Ovis aries: one gene and its partners. The protein of the gene in region 3 interacts with the protein of the main gene of each other region in a pairwise test. Links are inferred from orthologs where the notes say so. Each region holds a gene or a part of one and is shown on either strand. Other genes may lie near its edges. The genes, in order: LONRF1, NXT1 and STAU1.

Region 1 (10,593 bases), on a different chromosome or scaffold from region 3:
ATGTCTTGAAAGGTTTATTTTATTGTTCATTTAAAACAAAACCAACTTTTAATGCTAAAACCCTGGCAAGTAAAGGATTTTTGTCAGTACTTAGAGAGACCTGGACATCAAGCTGACTTCTATCATAATGAGGTTTAAGTAGTTATGCTAATATAGTTGTTTCTACTACAAGGAAATTAAGATAAATACAATGTTCTGTTTTTTTCCAAGAGACAAACGTTTCTGACATTCAGGTGATGTAACATTGTGACTAATGAGTAGGTATGTCACATGAAAGTTTTTAGTGTAAAATAAAAGGTCACAGATGGAATCCTATTAAGATAAGCCTTACTAAGTTAGTACCTACACAGATTTTAGTATTAATATTTGAAACTAGGAAAGCGAAGATCTTGTCAAGAAAATGGATACACTAAGCCTATGACCGTCTCTTCTCACCCCTTACCTGCTCTGGGCTCAGCTCACTGGCAGAGTGAGACTCTTCCATCACTGAAGGAAAACTGAAAGGTTTGTTTTTAATACATGGTAATGAATTCCAGGAAGAGTCCTTCAGGCCTTCTTTTAAGTTTTCAGGTGACAATAAATCACATAAAATCTGTAAGGAAGGTATCATAAAGAATAATGAAAAATATAAAATATTTTATTAAGGATAATTTAGTTACTTAATATTTAAGAGGGCTTCTCTTGTGGCTCAGCTGGTAAAGAATCTGTCTGCAATGTGGGAATCCCTGGGTTGGGAAGATCCCCTGGAGAAGGGAAAGGCTACCCAACCCAATACTCTGGCCTAGAGAATTCCATGGACTGTATAGTCCATGGGGTTGCAAGAGTCGGACAAGACTAAGCGACTCTCACTCACCTCACTCATTCAATATTTAAGAATTTCTGGAAAATTTCATATGGAGTATAAACTATAAAAATATCCAATCACTGTTGTACACTTAAAAATAATATTGTAAGTCAGCTATACATCGACTACAAAAAAGAAAACTTAGAGCTAATATTATTTTTAACGGGCAGGGAGGGAACAGGTTAAGCAAAAAAAAACAAGGACTTCCATGTTGATTTTAAAAGTCCTGCCAAAACCAAGGTGTGCCTCCAAGGGGGTCAAACCACATCAAAGAAATGGTTCAAAAGGAGGGCTCAGGGGTGATTAGACTAGTGGTGTGAGAAGGTGCCCAGGTATATATATAAGGTTTGTAGAAAGAAGAGATCTTAAAGAGAAGTGGGAAATATTTACCTCTGACCATCAGCAAGTCCCATCCTGTCAATATAGTTAATGGTTCATCCCAATGTATATTCTAAGGCTGAACTTAGACTGTTTATGTGAACTTGGACCTTTAACTACAGAACTAAAATTCCATGTGTTTACAGTGAATCTAGCTTCTCCCTGAACCAGTGACCTGTGTGGTCAGTCACCACCCCCGGCATTATCGAGGGCACCCCATGGCAGCCGGCCCAAACGGAGGCAGCTACAGTATCTAAACTCTGGGTGCTTCTCTCAGAAATACCTCAAACTCTCCAACAAGGGGATGACAACAGAGGAACAGACTGGCTACAAGGAAATGAGAGGGATTCAAATTTGTTTGCTTGTCAAATAAGCTGTGTGTATATGTACAGCATATACACATTTCTTAAAGTCTCAATTTGGAAGTTTGGTTTTTCAGCTGTTCTATCTGTCAAGGCACAAAAGTCAGAATTTTCCACAAATCTTTATAATGTAAATAAAAAGGAAATATACATGGTATTAATGGAAGTGTGTGTCCCTGTAGGTGCTCAAGCAATAAACCATTTAATGAATAATCACTAAAGAATTTGGATATGTTTTTATATTTCCCCGATTAAAAAAAAAAAGGTATTAAACATACCCTCACCCTAGAAGACAGTTACTTGACTCCTAGGTATTTACTGAAGAGAGATAAAAACGTATGTCCACAAAATGACTTGTAAAAGATTGTTCGTGGCAACAATTAGAAACAATCCAAATGAAAATCACCACTAACTGTATTTATCACAAACTGTGATATGTTCATACCACAGGATACTTGGTGAACAATAAAAAAGAAAAAAAGTTGCTAGATGTGTCTCAAAAACACGTTGAGCGAAAAAAGAGTATATACAGTGTATGTGAAGGTCCAGAACAGGCAGAACTAGTCTGTGGCACTAGAGGTCTGAGCAGTAGCTCCCTCTGGAAGCACAGAAAGAGGAGATCTGCTGCAGAGGAGACGAGGGAGCTTTCCAGGGTGATCTGAAAGAGTCTGTATCTTGACTGGGGTGTTGTTCCACGTGTACAATTTCTCAAAACTCACTGAACTATAAAATGCCTTTTATTATATGTAAATTATACCACCATTTACCCCCCAAAAAGAAATAATATTTCAAGGCTGTGGGTATTTTGCATTCACTTGACCTTATTAACCAACAAATAATTACAGGAAAGTAAGGATACCCAGCAGCATGGAAAATGCAAAACTATAAGCCCTTATAAAGTCTGCAGTCTCACCAGGGAGATCACTTTAGCAAAGAGAGCACAGTTAAGAATACACACAACAGTAAACCATCTTTTGTTAAATCAGTGGCTGGAACATGTATGCAAACAAACTTCATGGAGGATGTTGGCTTATTCATAAAGCATTTGGAATGCAAGAAAAATCCCAAAGTTCTCTTACTTTAAGGTACATAAGAATCTCCTGAGGTGCTTGTTAAATTATACTCTAATTCCAGAGATTCTAATTCCAAAGGTCTGTGGTGGGACCCAGGAAATCTTTGTGTTTACCATGCACCCGAGATGACTCTGACAAAAAGCCATGTTCTGAGCAACACTAAAAACGCAATTAACGCTGTGGCCTCTTTGGGGGACACTGAAGGAAACAACATGACTGGGCACTGAAATTTTATTAGGATAGATTTTCCCAGAACATTTTTCAGAGACTCTAGTCTTCCCAGATGTTCTGTGAGTAAATCTGGCAAAAGCTGAATGCTGTTGTCATGCTAGCAAAGCAAAAACTCTTGAGAGGGGCTGAAGAAATCTGTTTGATTGGTTTAACCCAGTGTTTCCCAGAGTCATTTGATCAGAGAACCCCTTTTCCTTTTAATTAACACCTACCACTGAACAAACTCTGGAAAGTGATGTATGGAGTACTGAGAAAATTAAGGCAAAATAAATTGAGTGGGGCAGTACTATTGGCAACCACGGAAAGCAAGCAAAGTTGAGACCTGAAATGAAAGGCAAAGGAAGCCAATAAAAATTCCTGAGCAGGAACATCATGACAACAATGTTTAATTAGGAATGACTGGTCTGGCTCCCATGGAACAGACTATTAGAGAACATCTAAATTTAACTAGGCGAAAGTAATGCATTTAACTCTCTCTGAAATGTTCTGATTTGGGTAAGAACTCAATATGCTAATAAGCATACTGAACCTGAAAACCCCTCATCAAACTGCTACTAAATCTGACTTATGGACACCCCTTATGTCCTTACCCCAAAAGTCTAGCGGGCGTTTGCAAAAAGACCTGTGTTGTCGGGAAACTGGCTGGAAGTGTTAAGAGTTGTTAAACGGATTACCTTTTCTACTTCTAGCTTTGCAGGTGCGAAATCTTCATCGAGCGCTAAGCACTGAAGAAACAGTTGTAAGGCATCACCTAAAAAACCAGCATCGTGGAGGACTTTTCCTTTCCTGAAGTACACCTTCAATAAAAGCACACATACCCAACTTTTATGGATGGAATTGTTTTTTGAAACATCAATATCACGTAAGGTTAAAAATAAAAGTTCTGCTTGGAAATGTTCATTTTGAAACTCTGAATGACTCTCAGGAGCCCAAAGCATTTTACAGGCACATTTACATCCTACCCGGGATAGGCACCTATGATTATGAGGTCCAGAAAATGACTCCAAAGCCACATTTCTAATTATATCCCACCAATGGTAAGTCCAGAGGATTCTTTCCTGTTTAATGGTTTTAAGAGCTTCCCTGGTGGCTCAGTTGGCAAAAGAGTTCTGCAACGCAGGAGACCTGGGTTCGATCCTCGGGTTGGGAAGATCCCCTGTAGAAGTGCATGGCAACCCACTCCAGTATTCTTGCCTGGAGAATCGCACGGACAGAGGAGCCTGGTGGGCTACAGCCCATGGGGTCTCGCAAGAGTCAGACATGACTTAGCGACTAAACCACTGCTGCCACCAAAGCTGTCTGTACAAATCATTTTCCCTCGTATTCTTAACACTGATTTGACTTGTACCAACTGATCATGTCATCATGAGATTCTGAATCATTTTCTTTATTAATTTATAAATTTTAGAGCATCCTTACTATACAGTCCTCAAAGGCATAGCTTTGAATGCAGAAAAAAAAGTCACATTAAAAGATGATTTTTAACTTAAATAACATACATGGGAGATGGATTGATTTGCCTTGACAGTATTGGTAAAATGGAGAATTCGTAAACCGATTATATAATACATACATGCTGCAAATCTTTTTTCAAAAGACCATGGGCAAGGCCCCCATCTACCGTACTGAACGACTGCCTCATCACCCAGTTCCCGTCACAATGCCTCAGTCAGCTGTTCAGCCACAGAAGCTCTTCTCTCTCCTTTAATAAACCTCCTCCACTGATAACTTCTTTGGGTCCATCTCCACAATAGTACATCTTTGAGGAAATGCTGTATATTAAATTCTTTTTTTTTTTTGTCCTGTGCCACGAAGTCAAGTTGTTCTCTAGTTAAGAAACAAATGTTTCTTATAGTCTAAAAAACTGTCAGATGATATTCATCCACTCAAAATATTGACCTCAGACTTCTAGAACTATTCCATATATTTAAAAGAAATCGCCCAATCCATTTCGTTGTGACTTACAATCATAATTGAAATGCATATTCCCTACAGTTGAACTTCTTAAATGCATGCAAATGTAAAACAGTAATTTTACCTCAGGCCAATTTGGCAGCTGAAAGAGAACTGCATTTAAATCTTCTATGGCTGCTTTAAACTCCTGGAGGCCAGCATACGATTCAGCTCTGTAGATTTTCAGAGTCAAGTCGCTGGGCTCTGAAATCAATGTTATGAAGGCTTGATTATTTTTAAAAGATTACTGTATAATCCACAGAAACATACTAAAGTAAGAACTGACTCAGCGATTCTAGTCAATAACCACTGACGCAAAGGCAGTGAGCCAAGCACAGTACAGGTGCAACCCACTGGCATACTGACATTTCTCTAACTTACAGCAAATCCTTATGGTTAGATTATTTTAGTGGAGGAAACTGATTTTTTTTTAAAAAACTGAAAATATTTTGATAATATGATCACCCCTAAGAAACTGAATGTTTTCCTAACATAGGCAAAGATTTAGAAGATGTATCTCAGATGTTTAGAAGATTTGTCTTTTTGTGGTAAACCTTTTTTTATATCTGATTTTGAAATCTTTATAAATGACTACATGTGTTAACTACTGCACACAGAATTCCCATAGTTACAAAGACTGACCGAGGCACGATCTTATGAGAGGACACGGTGGTCCTGTTTCTGGAGGAAATGGGTTGACAAGAGTCAGGTTTCTTAAGAGGGAAAATTTTTTAAATTCCTGCCATTAATAAGAACAGGATTGGATGGCCCCAGAATGACTTACTTTCAAATATTTGAGGGTAAAAAGCTTTAGGTGATAATTTCACTATGCTCTCTGTCTCTACTTGAGAAACCGAACTCGTATCCAAAGGCACTAAAACTTCAGACGCTTAGCTGGTTCACTGATGGTACTACAATCAATTCCTACAGGTCACGTGGGATCTAGGAAGATGCTACAGATGAGCCTATTTCCTACAGACTCAGATGCAGAGGATGGACACATGGGCGCCAGAGGAGAGACAGGGAGGGTGGGACAAACTGAGAGGTCAGGATGGACATAGATACACTGCCATGCGTGAAACTGCGTGTGGGAACCTGCGGAGCGGCGCAGGGAACTCAGCTCAGTGCCCTTTAATGACCTGAGGGCTGGAGGCAGACCCAAGAAGGAAAGGATTTTGTATACTTATAGCTGCTTCACTTCAGTGTATAGCAGAAACACAACACTGTAAAGCAATTATATTCCAATAAAAAAAGGTAAAAAAAAAAATTACTACAGGTACATGGATTCTGAAACTGAAGTGTAAGCCAGAAATCAATTTTCAATTATCTACAGATGACATTAACTTGACTCTTCTTTTTAAAGCTATTATTCATCTTTAAAGGCTTCCAAAATGTATGCTTATAAAATACAGCATTCGTTGTGGGAAGGGCATAAAGACCTTACCACCCACCGTCCTGGGCAAACAAAACAAAAACTATAATAAAACTCCTTAATAGCTTCCTTTACTCTAGTTTTTAAATGATTGCTTTTTTACAGATAACTCTTGATTTAACAATTAATCAGACAAGCCTTTTCTAGTTGTTGGTACTTGAGAACTCAAACTGTTACCTCAAATTTATACCAATGAAAAAATTTTAAGAATAAAATTAGTATTTCATGAAAATAGTTCTTACTTCCTAAGCAGAAAAAGACACGTCTGGAACATTTCATCTTTCGTTTCTTAAAGCAATATAATTGTAAATCATTATCTGAACAAAAACTCATAGAAACTGAAAGCTCCATGTGATTAATCAATCAAGAATGAGGAGTCTCAGCACCAAGATAGATAGATGCTGGAGGGGTTTCAAAGATGTTACTTTCTCCTTTTCTCTGAGGAGCTTACAGTCACATTAGGAAATCCCATTTTCTTGTGAAATGGCATCACGTGGTCCTGACCAGACAAGCACAACTGGAGTCCGGGAACCAGGGAGCAGCAGGTGCCCAGCCGGTCCAAGGAGTGGTCACCACAGCAGCGTCCAGCTCCCTGAGCTGGAGACGATGGGGACCATGTCGGGCACAGCTAGGGTCCTGCCAAGAGCACCCCTAGGACCCGCCTGTGCTCCGGCACCTCCAGAGAGAGGGGCTTCAGTCACAACCAGCAGCCCCCTCCACACTCGGATCCCTTACTGGATTGCTTTTCTTCTCACGTGTTTCCTTTTACAGCAGGTCCCCCCACACAACCCTGGAGGTAGTGCCCACGGGGACCTCGTGAGTACCCTACGCTCTGATCAAGGTCTTTACCGCTTGGCGCTAAAGCGCCAAGCTTCCCCAGGGCAGTGCAGCAGGAAGGGGCTGGGGAGACCTCCATCTTTACAGCGCCAGGTCAGTCCACCATGCTCCTCCCCTCCGAGGATGCAAACAAGGAGCTCAAGCTACCCAGGCTCCCTGGAAAGCTGGTGTCTACTGGGATGAGAAGCGTGGTAGACCTGCGATGGAGATGACAGGAGGGTCAAATCTTAAAACTCTTGTTCCCCAAATCCTTGTAGGTTCTGTTCTTACTGAGCATTTCACATACCAATGGAACAGTGATTTTGACTGACTGTTGGGGAGGGGGGAGCCTCATCAGTTGAGTTCAAACTCCCAGAACATTATTAAAGAGATTAGGGCCACCCCACTTGTTTCCTTCAAGCCCTTCCTAATTTAAAAAAAAAAAAAAACAAAAAAAAACAAAAAAACCACCAATGCATGATTGAAGCCCTCTGAATAGTATATGGATACAGAACATCTGCCCTCTGTGTCCACTTGTGGGAAAGGCAACTGCAAAAAAAATGCCATCAGCCAGGCTGTGTCATTAACTCAAGTGTTTAACAGGCAACAGATATTTATGATCTGCTCCGGGCGAGGTCCCGCGGACCCTGGGATGAACTGATCACCCCTCTGCACGAGCCACCGGGGAGGGCCTGCCCCTCAATCCACGGCTGCAGGTATGCAGTGCCTGGCGCATCACAGACTCGGAAATATAAGGATGTGCCAGGGCCGAGTGTACTGGGCAGGATTTAATTCCTACCTCTTCTTTTTTTTCACCCTACCTCCAGCTGCATCAGATTTCCAACAGCCAGCTGTGCTTTTCCTCAGGCTCAGTACACTTCCCACACCTCAGCACCCCCAAAAGGATATGTGTGCTGCACTGTAAGTAACACTGACTGTCCAAATCTAACCTTTACCACAGTCAGTTTTACCTCCTCTAGTATTTCCCCAATCCATCCCGGGTCTTTTCCAATCCAATTGCTAATAACAACGTTTTGAAAGCCAAAATTAAGCTAAGACTATTGTAACAGCTTGCTAACTGCACACCCTGCCTCCAGTTTTATCTATACGTACCTCACCATCCACAGATATAGTTATTTAGCACAACATCCAAGTTCCTGCGTGCCTGGGTCCTGCCCATCTCTCCAGCCTTATTTCCCATCAATATGAGCCTCCCGGTGAGTCCCAAGAGGACCTAGCTACTCAGCCCCATGCACGCCTTTTTCTACCTCATGCCTCCTTCCTTTTCACAGAGCTTCCTCCTTGTGAGACTCCCCCTACGCAACTCCCCTCTGTCTGGACAACTTTTTCTGATCCAGTAAGACTCAGCTCACCAACCTCTTCTCCAAGACGCTTTCGTTTGCATCTACTGCCACTTGGCATTCCAGAAGGATTCAGAGCCTGGAAGCCAGACAGCCTGGCTGCAACTTCTGCTCCTCCACTCACTCACTGTGAACTGGGGCAAATTACCTCTGTACCTCAGTTTCCTCAGCTATAAAATCTGAGTTTTTTTCCACCTATGGTCAACAAAGGACGCAAGACTATACAGTGGAGAAAAGACAGTCTCTTTAATAAACAGTGCTGGGAAAACTGGACAGCTGCAGGTTAAAAATGAAATTAGAACACCACACATAAAAATAAGCTCAAAATGGTTTAAAGACCTAAATGTAAAGATTCATAGACAAGCAAAAGCTAAGAGAATTCAGCCCCACCAAACCAACTGTACAACAAATGTTAAAGGAATTTCTCTAGGCGGGAAACACAAGAGAAGGAAAAAATCCATGAACATACATATTGATAATTACTTTGAATGTAAATGGATTAAATGCTCCAACCAAAAGACAAGGGCTAGCTGAACAGATACAAACACAAGATCCATATACATGCTGTATACAAGAGACCCACTTTAGACCTAGGGACACATACAGACTGAAAGTGAGGGGACGGAAAAAGATATTCCATGCAAATAGGAATCAAAAGCAATACTCATATCAGATAAAACAGACTTTAAAATAAAGACTATTACAAGAGATAAGAAAGGACACTACAGAATGATCAAGGGATCAATTCAAGAAGAATATACAACAATTATAAATACTTATGCATCCAACATAGGAGCACCTCAATATATAAGATAAGTGTTAACAGCCATAAAAGGGGTAATCGAGAGTAACACAATAATGTGGGACTTTAACACCCCACTTACACCAATGGACAGATCATCCAGACAGAAAATAAATACAGAAACACAAACTTTAAATGACACAACAGACCAGATAGATTTAATTGCTATTTACAGGACATTCTGGGGCTTCCCTGGTGGCTCAGACAGTAAAGAATCCGCCTGCAGTGTGGGAGACCTGGGTTCGATCCCTGGGTTGGAAAGATGCCCTGAAGGAGGGCATGGCAACCCACTCCAGTATTCTTGCCTGGAGAATCCACATGGACAGAGAAGCCTGGTGGGCTACAGTCCATGGGGTCGCAAAGAGTCAGACTACAACTGTGCGATTAAGCACAGCACAAGACATTCCACCCGAAAGCAGCAGAATACACATTCTTCCCAAGTGCACACAGAACATTCTCCAGGATAGATCACATCTTGGGTCACAGATCAGGACAAAGAAAATTTAAGAAAACTGAAATAGTCTCAAGCATCTTTTCCAACCACAATGTTATGAGATTAGAAATCAATTACAGGGAGAAAAATGAGAAATTATATCTGACACTGCAAAAGAACTGTAAAACACACACACACACACACACACAAACACAGAGGCTAAATAGCGTGCTGCCAATAACCGAGAGATCACTAAAGAAATCGAAGAAAAAAAAATACACAGAAACCAATGGTTTTTCTGGTGGCTCAGTGGTAAAGAATGCACCTGCCAACGCAGGAGACATGAGTTTGATTCCCGGTCTGGGATCCCACATGCCCCGCAGCAACTAAGCCAGTGCACCACAACTGTTGAGCCTGTGCTCTTGAGGCCGGTAGCCACAACTACTGAAGCCCGTGCATCTAGAGCCTGTGCTCCACACCAAGAGAAGCAGCCACAATCAGAAGCCTGTGCACTGCACTAGACAGCAGGCCCCACTCACTGCAACTAGAGAAAAAGCCTGCACAGCAATGAAGTCCCAGCACAACCAAAAACAAAACCCACAATGATCCACAACTTACGGGAGGCAGCAAAAACAATTCAAACAGTTCTAACAATCAAGAAACAAGAAAAATCTCAGTCTAACCTGACATCTAATGCAACCAGAGAAGGAAGGACAAAGAAAACACAAAGTCAGTAGGAAAGAAATCATAAAGATCAGAGCAGAAATAAATAGAAAAGAGGAAAATAATAGCAATCAATAAAACTAAATGCTGGTTATTTGAGAAGATAAAATTGATAAACCTTTGGCTTTAGCCAGATTCAAAGAAAAAAACGGAGAGGACTCAAATACTAAAACTAAATGAAAAAT
Region 2 (11,392 bases), about 36 Mb from region 3:
ATCTTTGGAACCAGACCGTAAGCAACTCCCCACATCAAATTCTAACCTGCCCAGGGAGGGTAGCCGGAGCTGCCCGCCCCGCCCACCGGAGGCCGCCCGCTCCGCCCACCGGGCGCTGACGAAGGGCGGGGCTGGAGCCTCGGTTTCCATTGGGTCCTCTGACGTCGCCCGGGATGCTGTTGGCCTCCCTGCGTGCGCCGGGATGCGCGGCTTAGTGGGACTTGAATGGGCGGAGGCGGATCGAGCGTCCGTGCCTGGGGCTCGTGGCCTCGCGGTTTGGGTTCAGGGTGGGGGCCCGGCCCTGGGGCCGGGCAGGGGTTTTCTAGCGCTGTCCGGCTGTACGATCTGGTTCAAGTGGGCCAGACCAAGCCGTAGTGGGTCAGCTGGGGCTGTATCAATGAGATCAGGCACGTCTTTACCTGCCTTAAATTTGGGCAGCGTTTCCAGACTTTAACGTCTCACAGGGCCAGGTGGTGATCTGTAATAAAACACGCCCCCCCCCACCCCCGCCTTTTTTTCTTTTCCCGGAGAACCCAGGATGTTTCAAAGCGGTATCTACTTGGATACTTCACTGGTAGGGTCTGGCTCAGGTCGGGACGCTCTGGGGCGGGAAGTCACTCTTCGAGGTGTCCGCAACTTGAATGCCCCTATTTCTTGCTGTGAAAACAGCCTTGATTATTAAATGAGATTTTAATTTAAAAAAACATGATGCGCACACTGTATGAATATCTACAAGGACATTCGGCATCAAGTGCCTTGTCTCCGCGTTAAAACTCTAGAACCCAGATCCTAAGGACAGCCGTACTTAACGTTTTTGCCAGTCCTTCTAGTGGTCCGTGCATACAGGGCAAGCCTATATGGAATCTTTTTTTTAAAACACAAAGCGAGTTTTCTCATTTGTAAAACGGGGCTGAAAATAGTGCAAAGTATCTTGAGCTGTTCTTGGGATGTTGTTCTTCCTGCCTGTAACAACTGTTAATACTCTACCAAGTATTTGAACTTCAGAGACTCTCAAAGATTTTTCATATTTGTATCACAGACAGGTCTACCTCTTCAAGCCCCCTTCAGAGGGGCTGTGAGCCCCTGCTACACTGAAGTGCAGGCCTGCGTGCTAGCTGCACTAGCGAAGACCCACAGAGCAAGTGATGTCTGACCTAGCTCTCAGTGGACTCTCAGTGGTCAGAGAGCAGCTGATGTCCTTCAGTGGGGCACCCTGGTGACATGTGGCACTCACTTGTAGATGAGACAGTTCTGCATTCACCTAAAGCCCCTCAAAGCCTCAAGGATTAGAAGGCTCTGTGTCTGGACCCTCCCTCAGCAAGTTGGTGCACCTCTAGTCTCCTGAACCAACCTCCGTCATCAGAGTTTGTCATGAGCCTTTGGAGGGGAGCATTCTGTAAGAGGAGCTGGCTATCTCTGAACCTGGATCTTTTTTTTCTTGGGGCACTGCAGTGGGTTTTCTGAGGCCTCAGCACTGCTTAGTTCATGTGTGCTAAGTTGCTTCAGTCCTGTCTGACTCTTTGCGACCCTACGGGTTATAGCCCTCCAGGCTCCTCTTCCATGGGATTCTCCAGGCAAGAATACTGGAGTGGGTTGTCATGCCCTCCTCCAGGGAAATCTTCCCAACCCAGGAATCAAATCGCCTTTCTTACATCTCCTGCATTGGCAGGTGGGTTCTTACCACTAGCGCCACCTGGGGAGCCCAAGACTGCTTAGATCTAGACTTAGAAAACAGACCTCCTGCAGTGGGAGGTTCTTGCTCCCCTAGCAACTCTGAGCCCTAAGGACCCTGTCCACTCTCTGCTTGGCTTCTCCCAGAGGCCCAGTGATCCGGCACCTGAGACACTACCCCCCACCCCTGCACCGACCCCACCAGCCCCCCACACACACACCAGGCTCTGTGTTCAGGCCTGCATCTCAGCCTGGGGCACTGACCAGGGCTTGCCCTTTAGTACAGGCTGCCACTGCCCCCCACCCTCTGTACACAGCCACCATACAGCCTCCTGCCCTGTCCCTCTGTCCTGCCAGCTCCCAGTCCAGTCCCCAAGGTCAGGCCCCTTTTCCTCTATCAGAGGGGAGGGAGATCCTTCCTGACATGGCAGCAATGCCCACCTTGCCTAGCCATCCCTGGTGGATGCCATAGCCCAGGGCTAGAGGTCCCTACCATCTGTGCAGCCTACACAAGTCCCCCATTCCTAATCCTAACCCACACCTCCCAGCCTGACCTTTGATCACAGATTTACCTGGGGAAGGCACATGTCCACAAGAGCTCATCTATTAATCAAAGGATGATGGAAATGGCTCATTTTTTCTTTACTTTGGAGAAATGGGGTGAGCTGGTCCTCAGGGTCAGTAAAACCAGCATCTAATTCTGATGCCCCCCAGCCCCACCTCAGTACTTCTTCCTCTTAAAAGCAGTTCTCTTTGTAAGGGAGTAGTCAATGGAGCTTCCTTGTTTACAAGCAGTTATTAGCTAACTCCAGGTATCTTACCTGTTTTCATCCATGTAACTCCCAGCACAGGTGCAAAGTCCCAGTGTGGTCCAGCCACCTAGTCAGGGGGTTCTCTAAAGTGTTTTAATAGACAGCTAGGGGGCTTTTGTAAAATGCCAAAAACGCTCAGGCCCACCCTCTGAGATTCAGTAGTTCAACCAGGATGTGCGCCTGGTGATTTTCGAAGAGTCCCAAGGGTGTCCTCTGTGTGTGCGGCAGCCCTGGATCTCAGTCTTTGCAGTGCCTTCTGCTGGCCTTGCAGCTTTAACCCTCCTTCTCCTGGGCCCCTCTCCCCAGTATCGCCCAAACACATCCAGCAAGGGGAAAAGAAGCAACATTTTATTCATCAAAATTTCCAGAACCAGAGTCTCTCCTGGGCAAATAGAAAAATAGAGAATTTTACTACTTCAAAAAGGCAACTGTGACAAACAAGTGTATGCCCAGACAGGGGCCCCTCAGACTTGAGCGAGCCCAGGGTTCAGGCTTGGGGTGTCCCACCACCCCACTAGCAGGCCCAGTCCTGGAACCGGAAGCAGTCGCTGGCAATCTTCCACACTGTGTTGCTGGGTGAGGCCTGGGCCGTCAGGATGAAGTTCTGGTTGAAGTCTCGCTGTTTGTTGCCCTCAAACTTCACTGTCCCACAGATCACCACAAGGACCGTGGTCTGGCTCGGGGTGGCTTCGTCATGGACAGGCTGGCAGTCTACCACGTTGATCTGGAACTCACTGGAAGGCAGCATCTCAAAAAACTCACTCAGGGACTCTTGCCCGGAGACAGCGTTGCCGTTCCACACCAGGGTGGCTGTGCCCATGTACAGGCGGGACAGCAGCCGCCGCCGCTTGTCCATGGTGCTGTAGTACACGTTCACGAACTCCTCAGCTGCGCGGCACGCCTGGTCCACATAGGTCTTGAAGTCCACGGACGCCATCAGTGGCCTCGCCAAGGGAGGCCTTGGCCCAGGTGCCTCCTGTACCCGAGGGGGCGGAAGGTGGAAGAGACCTTGTGTGAATGCTGATGACCGTCACGCCCCACAAAGGACCAGTCCTCCGACTGAGGCGAAATTCTGGGCGCCCCCTGCTGCCGACGCCTGGTCCGGCTGGGCCCCAGTTTGCTCATTGGAGACAGGAACATCCCTACCTGTGCATGACTATGACTGCAGTGCAGGATGAAGGGAAGCAGGGGACACCGCACACTCAGTTAAAAAGCCTGAGACCCATACGGCCAGCAATGACAGCTTATTACTATGAATTTTAACAATGAATTTCTTAACAACTGACTGTGGGAGGCTGCTTTTTCCTGGAAGCATGGAACAGCTGTGACTGCCCTCGTGTGTCTGGTGCAGACACCACACTCTGGAGAAAGGAACAGTGGCCCAACGAAGGCTGATCCATCTATCATGAGCTCACCTACTGGGCCTGGGAAGGTGAAGAGAAGGCAGGTTCCGTAAGAGGGCAAGAGAACAAATGTCGTTGAGGACAGGACAGGACCAGTACTGGTGGCCACAGTTCTCACTATGGGCTCTATTTGAGGAGCAAGGCTGGAGCTGACTGGAATGAGTGACGACTCAAGAGCTCCAGGGAGCACAGGGGAGTCCTGTGAGCCAAGAAAGGACAGGCCAGACAGAAGAAATTCTGTGGGGTGAGGGGGTGGTGACAGCAAGGAAGAATTTTAGCTGTAGCCAAAATGAAACATTTCCTTAAAAAAAAAAAGAGTCCAAAAGCATAAGGAAAAATTATTTGCTTTTTTTCCCCAAGGTATACAATAACTATTGTAGTTGTATTCTTTTTTGCCTGATTAAAATATTTCACTACACAAAAATCCAACAGAAGACAACATTACTAAAATATTGGATGCATTTAGATTTACAAACTTAAGTATTTTTTTATTTCAACGTTGTGCATGCATGCTCCGTAGTGTTCCTTTGACTCTTTGCGACCGCATGGACTGTAGCCCGCCAGGCTCCTCTGTCCATGGGATTCTCCAGGCAAGAATACTGGAGTGGGTTGCCATTTCCTTCTCTAGGGGATCGTCCTGGCCCAGGGATGGAAGCCGCCTCTCTTATTTCCTGCACTGCAGGCGGATTCTTTATGGGGATGAGACATGGGGAGAGTTTAACTTAAAAAAAAAAAAAAATCAGCTTTTGAAAGAGAGAAAAGATCCCACGCAAGGTTAGGAGGGAGTCAGGGAGAGGAAGGTGGAGGAGGCCAGAGCCTCCAGGAGAGAACTGGCCAGGGGTAGGAGCGGGTAGGCGGGGAGAGCTCCAGCCTTGAAAAGAGCGCTGAGGGCCAGGCACCCACGCGGGTCCTGCCACCCCCTCGGGGCGGGGGTGGGGCCTCAAGTCCAGCCGCGCACACACTCACTCCAAACTATACTTCCCAGCGCTTCATATACACCCCGTCCTTCAATAGTCACCGCAAACTGATGAGGCGTTATGGTAACAACTTCGCAACGAGGAAAGAAAACCCAGGTGTGGACTAGGTCGAGGGTGGACACGGCCCTGATCTGTCCTCTACTAGAATACGCTGCCTGCCCGGACGGCGCGATTGTCTCACCGGCTCCTGCCTCTCTGGGTCCAGTCTGGGGGCGCAGGGTTCCAGGATGGCCAGTTTGTAACCTCCCCCTCCGGGCCCATCGCCCTCGCTGGACACCACCCCCTGCACCCAGCCGAGCCCCCATCTGCTGGCGTCCACGCCGATCACCGGCATCTCGGGCCGCCGCGGCTCAACCAGCTGCCAGCCTGGGGGTCCTTAGGGAGCGGTCGTTTCTGCGGGGCTGCAACCGCCCCAGACTCGCGGCGAGACCAAGTGGCATCCTCGCCACTCCGGGGCCACTGACGGGGGGGGGGGGGCACCTCCTACGTACGCGGGGGTCATCTACCAGACCCGGGAGCGCAGACCTGCGCAGGGGCACCTACCTGCACGGGAGTGACCGCCCTGCTCAGTGCGGGAGATGACCGCGTCAGCGAGGGGCTCAGTTGGGCGGGCAGGTGAGGGGAAAATCACCGCACGGGTCGGCGTGGGCGGCTCCGTTCACGCGGCTACGCGGAGCCCCCCGTGACCGTAGGCCAGGCCAGCCGAGGCTCCGCGGTCCTCTGCAGCCTGCCCAGGCGGGCCGGGGAAGAGCCGCCTCCGCCTCACCACTACCTCCCAGGACCTGCCGGGTCCAGCCAGCGCCTCTGCGGGTTCCCGCGCGCGCGGCCAGCCAGCAACGCGCAGACTCAAGCGCCCGGCCCCTTCCCGCCCCGTGACGGACAGCCGTTTCAGCCAGTGGGGCTGCCGACCGTAAGGCTAGCCCCGCCTAAGTGTGGCACGGGTAGGGCAGCTTCCGGGAAAGGCAAGTTCCCAGAAGACCGCTCGCTCGAGTCTTCATTGGTCTATAGACGTAGGCCCGAGGTTAGGTACGGCCTCTGATTGGACGAAGCCTCGCAGATCCCCTGCTCTGGGGCGGGGTTGGGCGGGGGCTCTGGGGCCGTCTCGCGGCTGCGCTGAAACCTCCTGGCACGGGTTAACTGACGCTGCCGCCTGTTCTGGGTGTGTTCCCCTTGGCAATGCCAGGGCGGTTCTTTGCCTGCTTTCCTAGGGGAACGCTTGCTCTCAGAGTTCAGGGCCAGTTTAGAAAGTGGATGGGCTCTTCAATATAGGCTACCACCCCCGCCATGAAAAATGTGGTTTATAAACAAATAAATTGCAGGTTGAGTAGAACGTTTGAATTGAACTAGCGTCTTTGGAACCTTATGCACAAGACAATGTCTTTACAAAGCCCAATCCAGTGAAATGGGAATTTAATCTACAAAACTCCGAATCCCAGCATCACTAGCATGAAAACGAGAGTTGACCTCCTGCATGCCCACTGGGTTGGATGTCGCTTTTAAGTTTCCGTATGTTTCCCATGTAAACCCGTTTCATTTCATTCTCATAACTTCAGGAAGGCATCATTATTCCTGATATAGACTAGGAGGTCGAGAGACAGAAATTAAGTGACAGTCTGGAGTCACAGAGCCTCTTCAGTCCTAGAAACACTGGTCGGGAGGATATTTAACCAGCCCTAGGTTCTGATGAAAACAAGAATTTAACCCTGAGAGGCAGCCCAGCCAGCAACAGGAAGATGGGAGGTCCGGAACTTTCAGATTAGTCTCTACCATCTAAACTGTGCCTGATCCACAGCAAGGGGTCGGTAAATACTGTTTGAATGAGCAGACAGGGTTCAAATCATTGCTCCACAACATTCTAGTAAGCTTCCAAGCAAGCCTGTTTTATACTTTCCGGTGCTGCTTGAGTTTAGAAAGTTAGACACACTGCTGGCTCTAAGGCAGCAATTCTAGGGTGGTGGGCTGCCTAATTAGGGCCGCTGAAGCTAGAGAAGGAGTTTGCCAGGGGATTTTGGAAAAGATGCTATTTCTCTTTTTCCTTCTGGACATGTGATGTGCGGTGGTGCTGCTCCAGCCATCTTGCTCTGCTGAGGTGGGCACCCTTGTACCATGAGGCAGACAAGAAAGAGGGGGAGAAAGCAGACTTTGATGACTGTTGGGAACCAAATCAACCCTGAAGTTTAGCCTTTCTAGTTTCAAGAGTCAGTATATTCCCTTTATTATCAGTACTGCTAAAAATTGGGCATAAACAAACACAGTGTTAGTTGTTCAGCCGTGTCTTACTCTTTGCAACCCCATGGACTGTAGCCCACCAGGTTCCTCTGTCCATGGAATTCTTCAGGCAAGAATACTGGAGTGGGTAGCCATTCCCTTCTCCAGGCGATTTTCCCAACCCAGGGATCGAATCTGGGTCTCCTGCATTGCAGGTGAATTCTTCAGCAACTAAGCTATCAGAGAAGCCTATAAAAAAACCTACTTGTAAGTTAATTAGTGTGGCTTCCTGCACTAGCAGAGTGATTCTGCAAGTAAGTTAACCTTCTTGAGGTTCAGTGCCTCATGTGTAGAAGAGGGACAGTAATGCCCTCATTTCCTTGGGTCACGAGTGACTGGAAGAGGGTGTCGTCAGTGCTTAGCCCAGGGCCAGGCACAAAGCAAGCATCCAGGAATCATCGGTGTGCTTTGACATTTTGCATTGACAACAGCTTCCTTATTTGCCAATGATCCTTCCAACAAAGAAGGCTTTTAAACTTGGAACAAGTGTACCAGCAAATTGGTGGGATTTGTCACCAAACCACATGGGTGCCTTCTGGAAGATGATCCTGGCTTGAGCAGCCATGGCGCCAGTGGCCTATTTGCCTCATGGAGTCTGTCCAGGGAGGAAGGACGCAGCTGGTCAGACGTGCTAAGCTGCTGGCATCTCTGAAGACAGGCTGGTATCCTTGGGTCTCTAAACCTGGTACCGAGCTTCTCCCCTTATTGGCATGGTTCTCTGCTGCAGTATCTGATGGTGTTTGCTTGATAAGGCTGCGTGACTTGGAGCTGATCTCCTAGTGGTCCACGACGCTGTGGGCAGTTGTGCCTGCGGAACAGGATGACCAGCACCATCATGTGCTGTTCTCTCCCTGCTACTGCCACCCCCACCCCCTCACCACCACCCCCCACTAGAGGAACTATTAAAAATTGAGCATAAACAAACATAATGTTAGTTGTTCAGTCATGTCTTACTCTTTGCGACCCGATGGACTGTAGCCCACTAGGATCCTCTGTCCATGGAATTCTTCAGGCAAGAATACTAGAGTGGCTAGCTATCCCCTTCTCCCACACGCCCCCCACCCACACCACTGGAGGAATCATCCGAACTGCCGCTGGCCCAGAGTGAGCCGGGACTGCATTTCTGGAAGGTCACTTGGGACCTGTCTTTTCTGGGGGTCCTAGGAATGCAGGGATAACAGGAGTCCATTAGTTTAGGAGCTGAGCTGTGGCCAGGGGCCCAGAGGGGAGGTGTGAGCAAGAGAGAGGTAGGGACGGAGAAGGGGAGCAGGCGTGAAGTGTGTGTGCACACAGCTACACATTCACCTACACAAACACACACCAGAGAGGAAGCAGCAGAACTACAGAGGAAGCAGTCCTGGGAGTGGGCTGCCTTAGGAATGGATCCTCCAGTTCTGGTCGGGCTTCTGGGGCTGGTGTGGCTCAGGACAGACATGTGCCTCCCTGCCAAGCCCTACCCTGGTAGGTGGCAGACTCCTGAACAAATAAATGGCTGGTCCCCTGTGATGCACCGAGGATCATGTGGTCTATTGTGCAGCACTCTCGGAGGCCCACTGAAGCCCCGTCCTGAGGCCCAAGGAAAGCCTCTGGAATAGCACCTCACAACTGTGTGACCTGGTGGGCCACTTGCCGCTAAAGGGACCCTGAAGACAGGGCCCCTCCAGGCCTTCCACAGTGACACCGCCTCAAGGAGCTACCCACAGTCCGAATTGGCTCCCTCCTCATCTCTGAAATTGCACCCAGGTGGAAGTTTGTTCATCTGCAGCCCGAACCTGTGTCCTGGGGACTAGAGCACCCCGTGAGACCAGCAGGGGCTCTGAGGGAGCAGGGGAGGTGGGAGCCATGGATGGGGCCAGGGGTCTGGAGCCGCGACCAGGACCAGGGGTGATGGTGGATGATGTGATCTGAAGGGTCTGCGTTCCCATGAGAAAATGTCACTGGGGGGACCAGACATGGCCCGTTGAGCACAGCTCCCTCCAGCAGCACTGCCCATGTTTGTCCCATAAGCTTTCCACGTGCTTCGGTGTCGCCCACTGGGCTGCTGGATCATAACCAGGCTGGCCTGGAGCTTCCTTTTTCTTACGGATGACATTGTACAGGAGGCAGGGATCAAGATCATCCCCAAGGAAAAGAAATGCAAAAAGGCAAAATGGTTGTCTGAGGAGGCCTTACAAATAGCTGTGAATAGAAGAGAAGTGAAAGGCAAAGAAAAAAAGAAAAGATATACCTATTTGAATGCAGAGTTTCAAAGAATAGCAAGGAGAGATAAGAAAGCCTTCCTCAGTGATCAATGCAAAGAAATAGAGGAAAACAATAGAATGGGAAAGTCTAGAGACCTCTTCAAGAAAATTAGAGATACCAAGGGAAAATTTCATGCAACGATGGGCACAGAAAGGACAGAAATGGTATGGACCTAACAGAAGCAGAAGATAATAAAAAAAAAAGTGGCAAGAATACACAGAAGAACTATACAAAAAAGATCTTCACGACTCAGATAATCATGATGGTGTGATCACCAACCTAGAGCCAGACATCCTGGAATGAGAAGTCAAGTGGGCTTAGGAAGCATCACTATGAACAAAGGTAGTGGAGGTGATGGAATTCCAGTTGAGCTATTTCAAATCCTAAAAGATGATGCTCTGAAAGTGCTGCACTCAATATGCCAGCAAATTTGGAAAACTCAGCAGTGGCCACAGGACTGGAAAAGGTCAGTTTTCATTCCAATCTCAAAGAAAGGCAATGCCAAAGATTGCTCAAACTGCCACATAGTCGCACTCATCTCACCTGCTAGTAAAGTAATGCTCAAAATTCTCCAAGCCAGGCTTCAACAGTATGTGAACTGTGAACTTCCAGATGTTCAGGCTGGATTTAGAAAAGGCAAAGGAACCAGAGATCAAATTGCCAACATCTGTTGGATCATTGAAAAAGCAAGAGAGTTCTAGAAAATCATCTACTTCTGCTTTATTGACTATGCCAAAGCCTTTGACTGTGTGGATCGCAACAAGCTCTGGAAAATTCTGAAAGAGATGGGAATACCAGGTCACCTGACCTGCCTCTTCAGAAATCTGTATGCGGGTCAGGAAGCAACAGTTAGAACTGGACATGGAACAACAGACTGGTTCCAAATAGGAAAAAGGTGTATGTCAAGGCTGTATATTGTCACCTTGCTTATTTAACTTTATGCAGAGTACATCATGAGAAATGTTGGGCTGGAAGAAACACAAGCTGGAATCAAGATTGCTGGGAGAAATATCAATAACCTCAGATATGCAGATGACACTACCCTAATGGCAGAAAGTGAAGAACTAAAGAACCTCTTGATGAAAGTGAAAGAAGAGAGTGAAAAATTGGCTTAAAACTCAACATTCAGAAAACGAAGATCATGGCATCTGGTCCCATCACTTCATGACAAATAGATGGGGAAACAGTGGAAACAGTGTCAGACTTTATTCTTTTGGGCTCCAAAATCACTGCAGATGGTGACTGCAGCCATGAAATTAAAAGACGCTTACTCCTTGGAAGAAAAGTTATGACCAACTTGCTGCTGCTGCTGCTAAGTCGCTTTAGTTGTGTCTGACTCTGTGTGACCCCATAGATGGCAGCTCACCAGGCTCCCCTGTCCCTGGGATTCTCCAGGCAAGAACACTGGAGTAGGTAGCCATTTCCTTCTCCAATGCATGAAAGTGAAAAGTGAATGACCAACCTAGACAGCATATTGAAAAACAGAGACGTTACTTTGCCAACAAAAGTCCATCTAGTCAAGAAAAAGTGAAAGTCGCTCAGTTGTGTCTGATTCTTTGTGACTCCATGGACTATACAGTCCATCGAATTCTCTAGGTCAGAATACTGGAATGGGTAGTCTTTCCCTTCTCCAAGAGATCTTCCCAACCCAGGGATTGAATCCAGGTGTCCTGCATTGCAGGCGGATTTTTTTTACCAGCTGAGCCACAAGGGAAGCCCCCAGGTATACTGGAGTGGATAGCCTATCCCTGCTCTAGCAGATCTTCCCGACCTAGGAATCGAACTGGAGTCTCTTGCATTGCAGGCAGATTCTTTACCAACTGAGCTATGAGGGAAGCTCCTGTCTAGTCAAAGCTATGGTATTTCCATTAGTCATGTATGGATGTGAGAGTTGGACTATAAAGAAAACTGAGCACCGAAGAATTGATGCTTTTGAACTGTGGTGCTGGAGAAGACTCTTGAGAGTTGCTTGGACTGCATGGATATCCAACCAGTCCATCCTAAAGGAAATCAGTCCTGA
Region 3 (10,593 bases):
GTGCTGTAAGGAGGTGCAGAATCGCCGAGGAGAAGACTGTGAATTCTATCTGGAGAAGTCAGATGGGACCCACAAAATACTTAGATGTTTTCTTTCTTAATGTTTATAATGGGATTTGATTTGTGGTAATACTTGTTAGAAAAAATGAGTTCTGTTTCCATATACAACAGGAACAGGTATATCTTAAGTTACCTCAAAATTATCAATTTTAGAAAATACTCATCATTCATCCTTCTCTTTTTCCCCCTCTAAGTTCATCCAATTCATAAACCTTTAAAAATCATTTAAAAAGAAAACCAACCTGGAAAGATTGGACCTGGAAAGATTAGCATCAGTGCACAATCACATTTACAATCAACAGCTTCATATCAAACACAGAACAACACTAGCAATGGCAAAGTTCAATTGAAATGCACACAAAAACCCACTTGAAAATGCTTCTTTAGGATGTAGGTAGAAGAAAATAAAAATGCCTTGATTCTGTACCATAACTGGTTTCACTAATCTAGTGCATAAATCAAACTTATAATACCACCTTTGAGTCTGCAAGTCAAGAGGGTCACATGAATAATTAGGCTCTTTTTTTTTCTTTCTTAGCTAATATATGAACTATATTTTTTCCACAATTCAAATAGTTGTGTTTTAAGTAAGAGCAGCTCTGACCCATAAAATTTATCTGCAGTAGAGTATAAATGTGAAGCAAAGATCCCAGAGAGAAAGCGAAAGGAAGAGAAAGGCGTGGCCGAGGCCTTCCCAGGTGGTTCCTGCATGCAAAGGGCCAGGGTGACTTCATACACTTGAGAGGTGACTCTCCTTAGACAGCCACTACTACCTACAGCTGCCAGGTCGGTGGTCCCCAAGCTTTCACAGGACACTCCTCTTTAACAGTATTCTCCCCAACTGGGACCCTTGCCTGAAGAGATATCTATTAATCTGAATTTAAGAAATAAATATCTATTTTCTCATTTTTGTTAACAATCAAGAGACGTAAAACTGATAATCGGGGTTACAATCAACAGGTTATAATCAATATTACCACACAAAGTTGAAGTGATTTTAAATAAAACCTACATTCTCACAATCTATACAACCCTTATCAAAAGAAAAAAAAAAATTCCTTTCATTAAGCTTTTCTGAAAGTCTCCGAAATCGTTTGGTGACATGCCCCGCCTCCCGTGACCACCTCTCCAGATCATCAGGCATCAAGGGGCTGTAGATTGGGAACCACTGCTTTAGAGTAAGGCTAAGATTCCGAAAAGATAAGCATTTGCCACTGGTAGTGCAGACTCTGTGCTCTCAAAATCAACAAGTCAGTTAAGAAAGAATTCATATACATACTAAACGGATATCTCTAGACACACTTTTGAAAGGAACCTGTCTTGGCCCACGCATAATACCTGGATTTCTTCCTTCGCTACGGAAAGGGCGGACTATAGGTTTAGGAAATTTTGTTCTTTCCAAAGCTTTGGCAGCAGCTGTGTGTTGGGCTTTTTTAATACTAGTTCCTTCAGCTTCCCAGTGCTGATCTCCAAGTGTTAGCTGTACTGTAAACACCTACAAATGAAAATTGTGAGCTCTCAATTCAGGAAACCTGATGTTGACTAAAATATGTCACTTGGACCTTGAACATAATTTACGGTCATGGTTTAAAAGGCCTGGTCATTATCTCTGTAATTTATCCCTTCATCCCCCTTTTCACTGTTTCTAGAAACATGAGAAGATACATACATCGTCGACTTGTACTGCATAGCACTCCATGAAAAAACATCTTTTGAAAAAAAAAAAGAAAAAACATCTTTTGAAAGATGGGTATAAGTACAGAAATTTAAAACTGTTCTCTTATATATTAAAATATTAAATGCTAATTATCTGGAAGCCATCCAAATAAAAACTGTCTTCCCATTTCTTCTCATGGAAGAAGTTTAGCAAGCTTAATTTAGACACATAATAGTACCTCATACAAATGAAGACAGCATTTGTTGTAATTTGTTCACTGGTTCTTGTCTGAAAATACCTCATTAGGCCAAAACCTCAAATGAATTTGGGAATGTCATTATTACAATGCTACCTTTTACTTTCCTAAGACTGTACTATTCAGACACTGCCCCCCCTTTCAGAAGATGAGATTCACTGCAAGCAAAGATCTAACAACATTCTGAACTCAATTCTAAGGAGGCATTCAAAAGAGCTAATTTTGCCCTTAACAACTGTGGACAATGACAAGCCTCTTTTTTCCTTTTTAAGTATAAAGGGAACTTGTGTGCACGCTCTATTCGTAAAGTTAGGTTATGTTAATCCCATCAGAATTGGACAAACAATTCATCCAAAAAACACTAGGACCCACCACAGCGCAGTGATTCTTTAACACTTGTGTACATCTGAAGAATAACCCAGGAAGCCTGGTGAAATACACGTGCCAGGAGTTTTGACTGAAAAGAACAGCATGAGGGGAGGCCTGAGCCTGTGTATTTTTAATAAGCTCCCAAAGTCATTCTGATGCACTTCAATGGTTGAGATTCACTACTTTGGAGTTTTTATTCTTCTGATTTTCTTTATCATGGAATCTATCACTTTATTTCACTTACAAATAATTCACAAGAGAAATGGTGATTTGAGTATGTCCAGGTCATTTAAATTTGGTGCCTCAAGGGATGGGGCCAACTTGCCTTTAGAGCTGATTTTTCTTGTAGGTCTTAACTTCAGGATTCCCTCAGCGCACAACTTCCACTAAAGGGCGAAAAATTAAAGAATCCTTCACCCCCCTTGAAATATTAGGGGTCTCCTGTATTTATGCTGCAGTTCATAAAGTTACTCATTAAAGCACTGATAGCATGAACGCAAAACCCTGACTAGCACAAGAAGTCAGACAGCAGAAGCAGCCTGCAACGCTGTGCAACCCCTCAGTCATTTTTGTGATCCTTTCATGAAAAGACATCGAAGGGGGAAAACGCTATAAGACAGAAGAGAGTTAATTTCACGGTCAGTCTTGCCTTTCTCCACGACTGTCCCGATGGTGCTGCTGCCACGATGCTGCCTTCTGTGCGGAGGGGCAGTGGTGAGGTTAGATCTCGGTTCAGAAAGAATTAAAAGTACACCAGACCTCTGACTTTTGAAATAGTCTAATAATCATCTAGGAGGGAATAAATTTTTCTCTTTGAACAACTTGTAGGCAAAAAAAAAAAAAAAAGATACAGACTGAACACACAGCCAAATTACCTAAAAGGTACCAAAGTTCAAGTGAGATAGTACATATTTCCAAAAATACCAAAAACAGTTAATAAAGGGAATCCCAAAGTTAAGATCTGCAAAAAAAAATCCTGTAGAAGAAACAGAACAGTTATCAGAGAATTGGCTAATTGCCTTCTAAAAGTAAAGAAATATTTCAAATATAATTGTGCTTTAGAATAATATTAAAACTACCTTCATGAGAGTGGGAAATTCCTGTTTTTCTTAAATGTATAATTGCTTAATTGTAATAGCTACCATTTCTCAAGCATTTACTACATGCCAGACACTGCGCTCCATACTTTGACATATATTCTCACAATAGACCTATTTGGTAAGTACTATTATCTCCATTTTACAGATGAGGAAACGGAGTTTCAAAAAAAGTAGTAACCTACACAAGGTCACCAAGTTAGTAAGAAGCTAAGATTCAAACCCAGATCTGTCTGACTCCAAAGCAACTAACCAAAATGCACTTCCCTATGGGGCCTGTTCGTGATTGTGGTCAATGCTACTTTTAGTCCAAGAAAAAAGAGAAACCTGGTATCATTCAAGGTTTGAGGTTTGCATGTCAGGAAAACTGAGGCACAAAGAGACAAACAACTCTTCCTTATAAAACTATATTATCTTACTTCAAAGCTAGAATCACAAATAGGCCTAATTCTTTATCTCTCATACTGTAGTTGCAAAAGATAAAGCCAGATACACAAACATTTAGGGTCCAAGCACATTAGCACAGATATCAAGCAAGCTTAAAAGTCTGAACTCCTGAAAAACAAATAGTAAAAATTCAAATTACAGTCAGTCTTTCATCCTCTAAGATGAGAGTGACAAGGGTACCTAAAATCAGAGATAATTCCATGTACTCACAGGGAGATTGATTTCTGCCTCTCACATTCAAACCCTATCTGATTCTGAACAAGAAGCAACACTGACTTCCCATTCACCTCCTCTCCCTGCCCTGCCCAGACCTAAGGTATCTATGCACGTGCAAACGAAAAGGAAAGGAGCCAGACGGAGGCTGCAGCCAGGAGGCCCAGAGCCCAGAAAACTCACAGGAAACCATTCACAGGTGCTTGGGACTTGTCTTGCTTCAGAATCCTAAACAACCACATGCTAACTGAAGTTTTAAAAGCCAAATATCCCCCAGAGAAGCATCTCTTTCGTTTGACCCACTCTGCAAGGATGGAAAAAAGAAGTGACTCGCCCAAAATCTGTACTTCTGCATCTCTTTAAAACAACCTCAGCAGTTTCAAATGTGTTTTGAATCACCGCACCACTTGCAACTGTATGAAAAGAAAGAAAACATTCCTAGTGGGTTATAAATGCACAAGCAGTATGGACAATATTTACCTTACAGTGAGCTGGACCTTGCTCACGCAAAAGTTTATACTCAGGCTGAATCTTGTTGAAACGGGCTAACTCATTCACAAGACACATTGGGGTTTTCTCTTTAGGGTGTGCCATGTTAGGAGGAACTGAAAAATAATGTGAGAGCGTTGACGTCAACTAGCAGTGTTAGAGACGGCGGCTCTCCAGGGCTATGAAGAGAGGGAAAACAAACGCCACATCTAATGATTTAGAGCAACAGCGATGCAAAACTGCAAACCACACTGAGGGCACATATCTGAAGACACAGCTGGGATCTTTTCTGAACCAGTTGAAGTCAGGTTACCTAGGAAGGGGTGTGTCTTCAAAAGAGAGAGAATAGAAGTCAGAGGAATAACTAAACCATGGCAAGCACGCAAGATTTGAAATCGGATGAAGGACTGCTATTATAACCAAGGAAATAACAAGGAGGTCTTTTGAGCAGAGACACATACACACATTAGTTAGTACAACAGTTGTCAGCTGTACCCTGTTCATTATTTCACAAAACGCAATATGCCAATACCATTTCTCAAACGACTGTCTTTTTCCAAATAGCTAACTTCTCCTTCCTGGGGTATCTTCTCATCTTATCTCCAGAGGCTGCCATCCTCAGACTTTACCTATCTTTAATAATTATGTAAGTAAAATAAAATGGTCTTGGATGGGAGTTTTATAAAGTCAACAAAATGTGGATATAAGAACACATTAGAAGAGAACGCAATTAAATCCCAGAGGACTGAACTAGTCCGTGCCATTTCCTATTAAGATGGTATTCAAATGGCAAATATGGGGAACACTGAACCTCTAGGGGACTATGACAAGTCAAGAATGCCATCTGGTGAGCTGGTCCAAGGAAGTCTAGAGGTAGCAGCATGATAAGAGTCTGCGCAGCTGAGAGTGGGACAAGTTAAAACTCTAAGAAGAGAGATACAAAGTAAAGGAAACGAGAGGACAGAGGAGGAAATGCAAGGGAGATGTCAGGCACTAAGGGCTGAGAAGCATTTATTACAAGGTGACTCCAGTACAGAGACACCTATGCTGACACCCCCTTTAACTGGCTTTGCAACTTGGGATGAGATCGGGAGAACTGGGGAGCAGAATATTGTTTTTAAGGGTTATTTCCCCAGGGATTGCAAGTCTTTTCTAATCCATGGATATTTTTCATTTTTGTTTTCCTAATATTCAAATTTGAGGGTTTCCTTTTTAAACATCTCTGCTGCTTGGTTCAATTTCTCATTGGCCCTCACTGTGATTTCTCAACTACCTCTGGATGGCAACTTAAACTTACTTAGTCAAAATGAAAATTAGCAAATGCCAACACATTCTTTTGCGTCCCAAAATCTGGCTGTCCCCTTGCTTGGGATAAATCTTACAGACCTCCAAAAAGGGTACTTACACCTACAAATCAGTTCTGGGAAATCATTTTAACAGCAGAATTTTCCCATATAACAATGAATATCCAAAGTGGTATTTTTTTTCTGCCAGCTACCAGTTTATAACAGAGTAGGCTTTATAGTTTGGTTTCTAATTTTCTTCCTTACATTTTGAAATACTCTGTAAAAGGTCTCTTTCAAGCCAGTATATCATCAAGTGTGTTTTATATCTGGTATAAATAAAGAAGTGTGGGTGGTATACTTCCTCCTGCTTCTTGAAGGTAAATGTGCAAGAGCTCCCTGTATCTGCAATCTACTTATCAGGTCGGAAAACAGGCTAAGAAAACATTTGAAACAGAAGACACTTGGATCATACGCTTACCTGCAGCTGCACTGGTGGATGTAATAGATGCAGAGGGTAAAGCAGAGTTTTGAATAGGTCTACCTGCATTTTCAGAGGGCAGAGAGCTAGCAGTAGAAGGAATACTCATCAAAGGCTGTGAGAGAAGAGACTGGTTCTTGTTCAGTATTTGGCTCCCTGAGAGAGCAGCAGATGGGTTCTGAACTTGCACTTGAACTTGAGACATGGTCACTTTCAACAAAAGTGAACAACTGCAGGTAAACAGCTCTCAGTGCAGGTTAATTCAGTGCTATGAAGTCTAAAGTTCTACCTGAAAGTTGTAAGGGAAAGAAAATAAAAAGATAAATTATAGAAGAGATATGTAATTGCCAATATTCAGTCAAAAACTGGTGTCACCTACTCAAGTATGAAAACAGCCCGTTTAGTCTGTAACTGTGATGTACAGTAGGATTCACTAGCTTTATGAATTTCTCAGTGTTTTTTTTCCCCCACAGTGTTTTAAAATACTTACAATACCCACATACCCTGCATGTTCATTTTACAAAAAGAATCAGCAAGGTATAATACTACTTATTGTTGAATATTAAGAATTATAAACTATAGCCTACATTAAAAAATCAAATTAAAAACATGAAGAGGTTTTCCACTGAATATGGGATATGGTAAAGGTTTCTGGGCTCAAAATGATAAGAAACTGAAAGTAAACTGGGTCTGTAACACCATTACTGGTGAATGTAAACACTGCTTCCGTTTTCTTGGCCATGTGCTCAGAATGGCGCCTTTGGAGCTCTCCTTTAAGTTGACTGAAGAAAGGGAAGAATTCCTCACTCTTGCCATTTCTTTTTCCTAATGATGACACAAGGCCTCTTTGTTCTCCGGTAAGGTTTGTTTGAGAGAGTCCCCTTTACTTACAGATTACAAACAAGAGCTGTTGCACCCACAACCATGGCCATGTATCCTCAGCATAGCAAAGAACATTCTATAGTATGTTTATTGTTAAAAGCAAAAGTGGAGAAGATGCAGAAGAGAGGAACAGATTTCAGGCTGACGATTTTACTAGCATGGCTTGTGGGGGAAGCAGAGAAGATTTTTACTGTATCTTGTAAGTTCCAAAGGTATTAATTCTAAATACATTTAAATTTCTTCACCAGTCAAAAATAAGGACAGTTCTGCTCATTTTCATGGCCATCATTCAAAAAGCTGAAAATGTTTAAGCAAATCAAAACTACTCAAAAATAACCATTAAGCAACAAAGAACAGAAAAAGCCAAGCAAGGCAGAAACCATCAAACTAACAAATTAGAAGTTCTACTATAAAGTAATTTGTTACTTTCATTTTTTAAGTCTCAAAATGATTTTTAATTAAAGCCAAACTTCTACAAACAGATGAATGACCAGATAAGTTCCTTGAAGTCTTGGAACATCCTCCCTTGTGGAGAGCAAAGTGAAAAAGTCATGTCCGACTCTTTATGACCCCATGGACTGTATGACCCCAGGAGACTGCCAGGCTCCTGTGCGTGGGATTTTCCAGGCAAGAATACTGGAGCGGGTTGCCGTTTCCTTCTCCAGGAGATCTTCCTGACCCAGGGATCAAATCCTGGTCTCCCACACTGCAGGCAGACTCTTTACCATCGAAGCCACCAGGGAAGCCCTTTGCAGAGAGCAAAAAGGACTACAAAACTGACAACAAGGCAAAAATCAGAAACAAAAGCACCCTGGCTAAACTATGACTTTGGTTAGTAACAGGTATAAATATTACCTTACACGACAAAATTCTCCAACATTACAGTTGTTCCCCATCTACTTTTGAAATCAGAACAAAACAACAGAGGAGATCCACTGAAGATCTGGGTAGTGGTCTTAGTAGACAAGTTGCCAGTGTCAAGCAACAAGTCCAAAACCTTTTAGAAGGCAGCTATGACCTTTCATTGTTCAATCAGCTGCCAAAATATAAATATTTCTCTTTTAATCTTCCCCTCCTGCTCTTACTCATTCTCTCCCTCTCTCTCAACTCTGTCCTGAGGGCATTTTTCTACCCTCCCCTGCAAAAAAAAAAAAACCACTGAGAGTTGTACTCACAACTTCACAACACCAACCAGAGATCACAGGTCCAAACATAAGCCAAAAGCACAGTGCTTGCTCCAGAGTCTATCTGCATCCCAGAAAGTGAAAGTGAAGTCGCTCAGTCATGTCCGACTCTTTGTGATCCCGTGGACTGCAGCCCACCAGGCTCCTTTGTCCATGGGATTCTCCAAGCAAGAATAATGGAGTGGGGTGCCATTTCCTTCTCCAGGGGATCTTCCCGACCCAGGGAAGCAACCCAACTCTGCTCTGGGTGGCTCTTGAGAGTCTGAGACCGAATGAACTAACTTTAGAAAGGGTGGGGCCCAAAGGGATCTTTGTTGGCTAGCTTCTCTAAGGCAGGCCCACTGCCAGCATTTCCAGTGACAGGCATAAATTCATAGGTTTGCTAGAAGTTGAGATAAGAAACAAACAGGATATTAATTAAGACCGCCCCAAAAATGCTAACCTCAGGTACACCTGGAGGAGTTATATCTTTCAAACAACTGGTTGAAATAAGTAGTTCAAAACTGCAGATGGAAAATATTTTAAACCCCAATAAGGCTCTATATTTTAAATTTTTTTAGTTTGTAATATGACCAATAAAAATACAGCACAGTACTCATTTTAAGTCATTTACTAATTTAACTTTTCTATGTATCTTTAAGCCTGAAAATATAATCTAAAGAAGTAGTTTTAAAGAGGCAATTTTGCTCCCCAAGGACACCTGACAATATCTGGAGACATCATTTGGCCATCGCATCTGGAAAATGGGAGAACCTACTGGTATCCAGTGGGTAGAGGAGCAAGGGTGCTATTTCTAGCATATATATGTGCATTCACAGAATAAAATCTTACTAATGTATGAAGGAGCTTATATTCTCAGACAGGAAAAGAAAACCCCCTTTTCATCTCAAAAGGCTCTGAAATACTGATGCTAATATTTTACCCAAACAGATGCTCTTCCCCTAAGAAAAGTCAGGCAGCTATAAATAAAGCTTTTCACTACTGCCATTTATATAGTTCATGGAAGCATTCAGGGGAATCACATAATTTCAGAGATATTATTTCTGCATAAATTAAGAACCTTTTGCTCAACACTATACCATCCTGAGATTAAATCCTTAAATGAAAACTTACATTTTCCTTTATACTTGTCTTTAAGCATTGTTTTCCATCAAATAAATTAGGGACTTAAAAGAGATTTTAAATGCTTTATTAGAGTCTTCTTACAAAAGAACAGAATTTCACACACAGGAAAATTAGGTTGAAAAGTTTAAAACACAAAGACTCCAGTTTTCCCTGAGGCTGGAAACACTTGACTGTGAAGCCTGTGGTGTGCTGTTTCCTTGCCTCCTGCCTCCAGCACAGATGAGAATCATTCATCTCCTGATTTTTTCCCCTAATTGAGGAGCTTGAGATACCAACTCAAGAAACCATTTCATCCTATTCTCAAATCCTAAATTTATGGAATACAAACAAAGGACTACAACATTGTGAGTGGTGAGATGACAAGAGTTATGGGTACCTCTTTTTAAAAATTCCTAATTCCAAGTCCCCCCAGATCCTAACTTGGGCCTGGCGACATAAAAATCTCATAAAAAACAGTCTCACCTGGCAATTTCCACTTTACAAGTGTCAAGTACTTTTTAATGGGTTGCAGTAAGGGGAATATGGGCACATTATAAAAGCATTTTGAAAAATTGCACATGATGTGCTAAAAAGTGATCAGGCACAAAATGCACATCTCTAACTCAGCAATGAATCTACCAAAACTGGGCCATACTGAGTGCACAGCCTGAGTGACTCAATACACAAAAAGGCAGATCCTTCTAGAAACAGTTTACAGAACTACCTACAGTACTGCTTTGTACTAATCCCTTTCAACTAACAGACTACTAAGTTGCTGCAGTATGAAACACCTACTTCAGCAATTATGGGAAAACATCATTTCTATTACTAATATCCATTTTCCAACAGGATTAACACATAACATAAAGTGTCCATACTTTTGTGCAATCAACACATCATTCCCCTTTGTAGTAAGTGATGTTTCCAAACAAGATGTGTTTTTTAAAGGAAGGAAGGAAGGAAAGAAAAAGAAAAGAAAAAAGTCATCCCAATTCTGGACAAGCTTTTAAGAGCCAAAACACTGCAACTAAGTATTTCCCCTTCTTGCCTTTATTATTAAGTTGGTGCAAAC

The links.
Region 1: the proteins of STAU1 (region 3) and LONRF1 interact in binary tests that used the Homo sapiens proteins (3 or more experiments, as listed by UniProt). The two-hybrid records come from large-scale screens. The link is inferred for Ovis aries from reciprocal best matches to the Homo sapiens genes STAU1 and LONRF1.
Region 2: the proteins of STAU1 (region 3) and NXT1 interact in binary tests that used the Homo sapiens proteins (3 or more experiments, as listed by UniProt). The two-hybrid records come from large-scale screens. The link is inferred for Ovis aries from reciprocal best matches to the Homo sapiens genes STAU1 and NXT1.

Annotation. Positions count from the first base shown.
Region 1 is NC_056079.1:23,412,867-23,423,459, reverse strand, and holds part of LONRF1 (LON peptidase N-terminal domain and RING finger protein 1), read right to left. Parts: intron 5,046-10,593; coding exon 4,927-5,045; intron 3,686-4,926; coding exon 3,563-3,685; intron 593-3,562; coding exon 443-592; intron 1-442.
Region 2 is NC_056066.1:41,574,794-41,586,185, reverse strand, and holds NXT1 (NTF2-related export protein 1), read right to left. Parts: upstream 5,712-11,392; 5' UTR 5,407-5,711; intron 3,460-5,406; 5' UTR 3,421-3,459; coding exon 2,998-3,420; 3' UTR 2,811-2,997; downstream 1-2,810.
Region 3 is NC_056066.1:77,267,228-77,277,820, forward strand, and holds part of STAU1 (double-stranded RNA-binding protein Staufen homolog 1), read right to left. Parts: intron 6,641-10,593; 5' UTR 6,557-6,640; coding exon 6,352-6,556; intron 4,704-6,351; coding exon 4,579-4,703; intron 1,555-4,578; coding exon 1,398-1,554; intron 1-1,397. UniProt on the Homo sapiens protein: Binds double-stranded RNA (regardless of the sequence) and tubulin.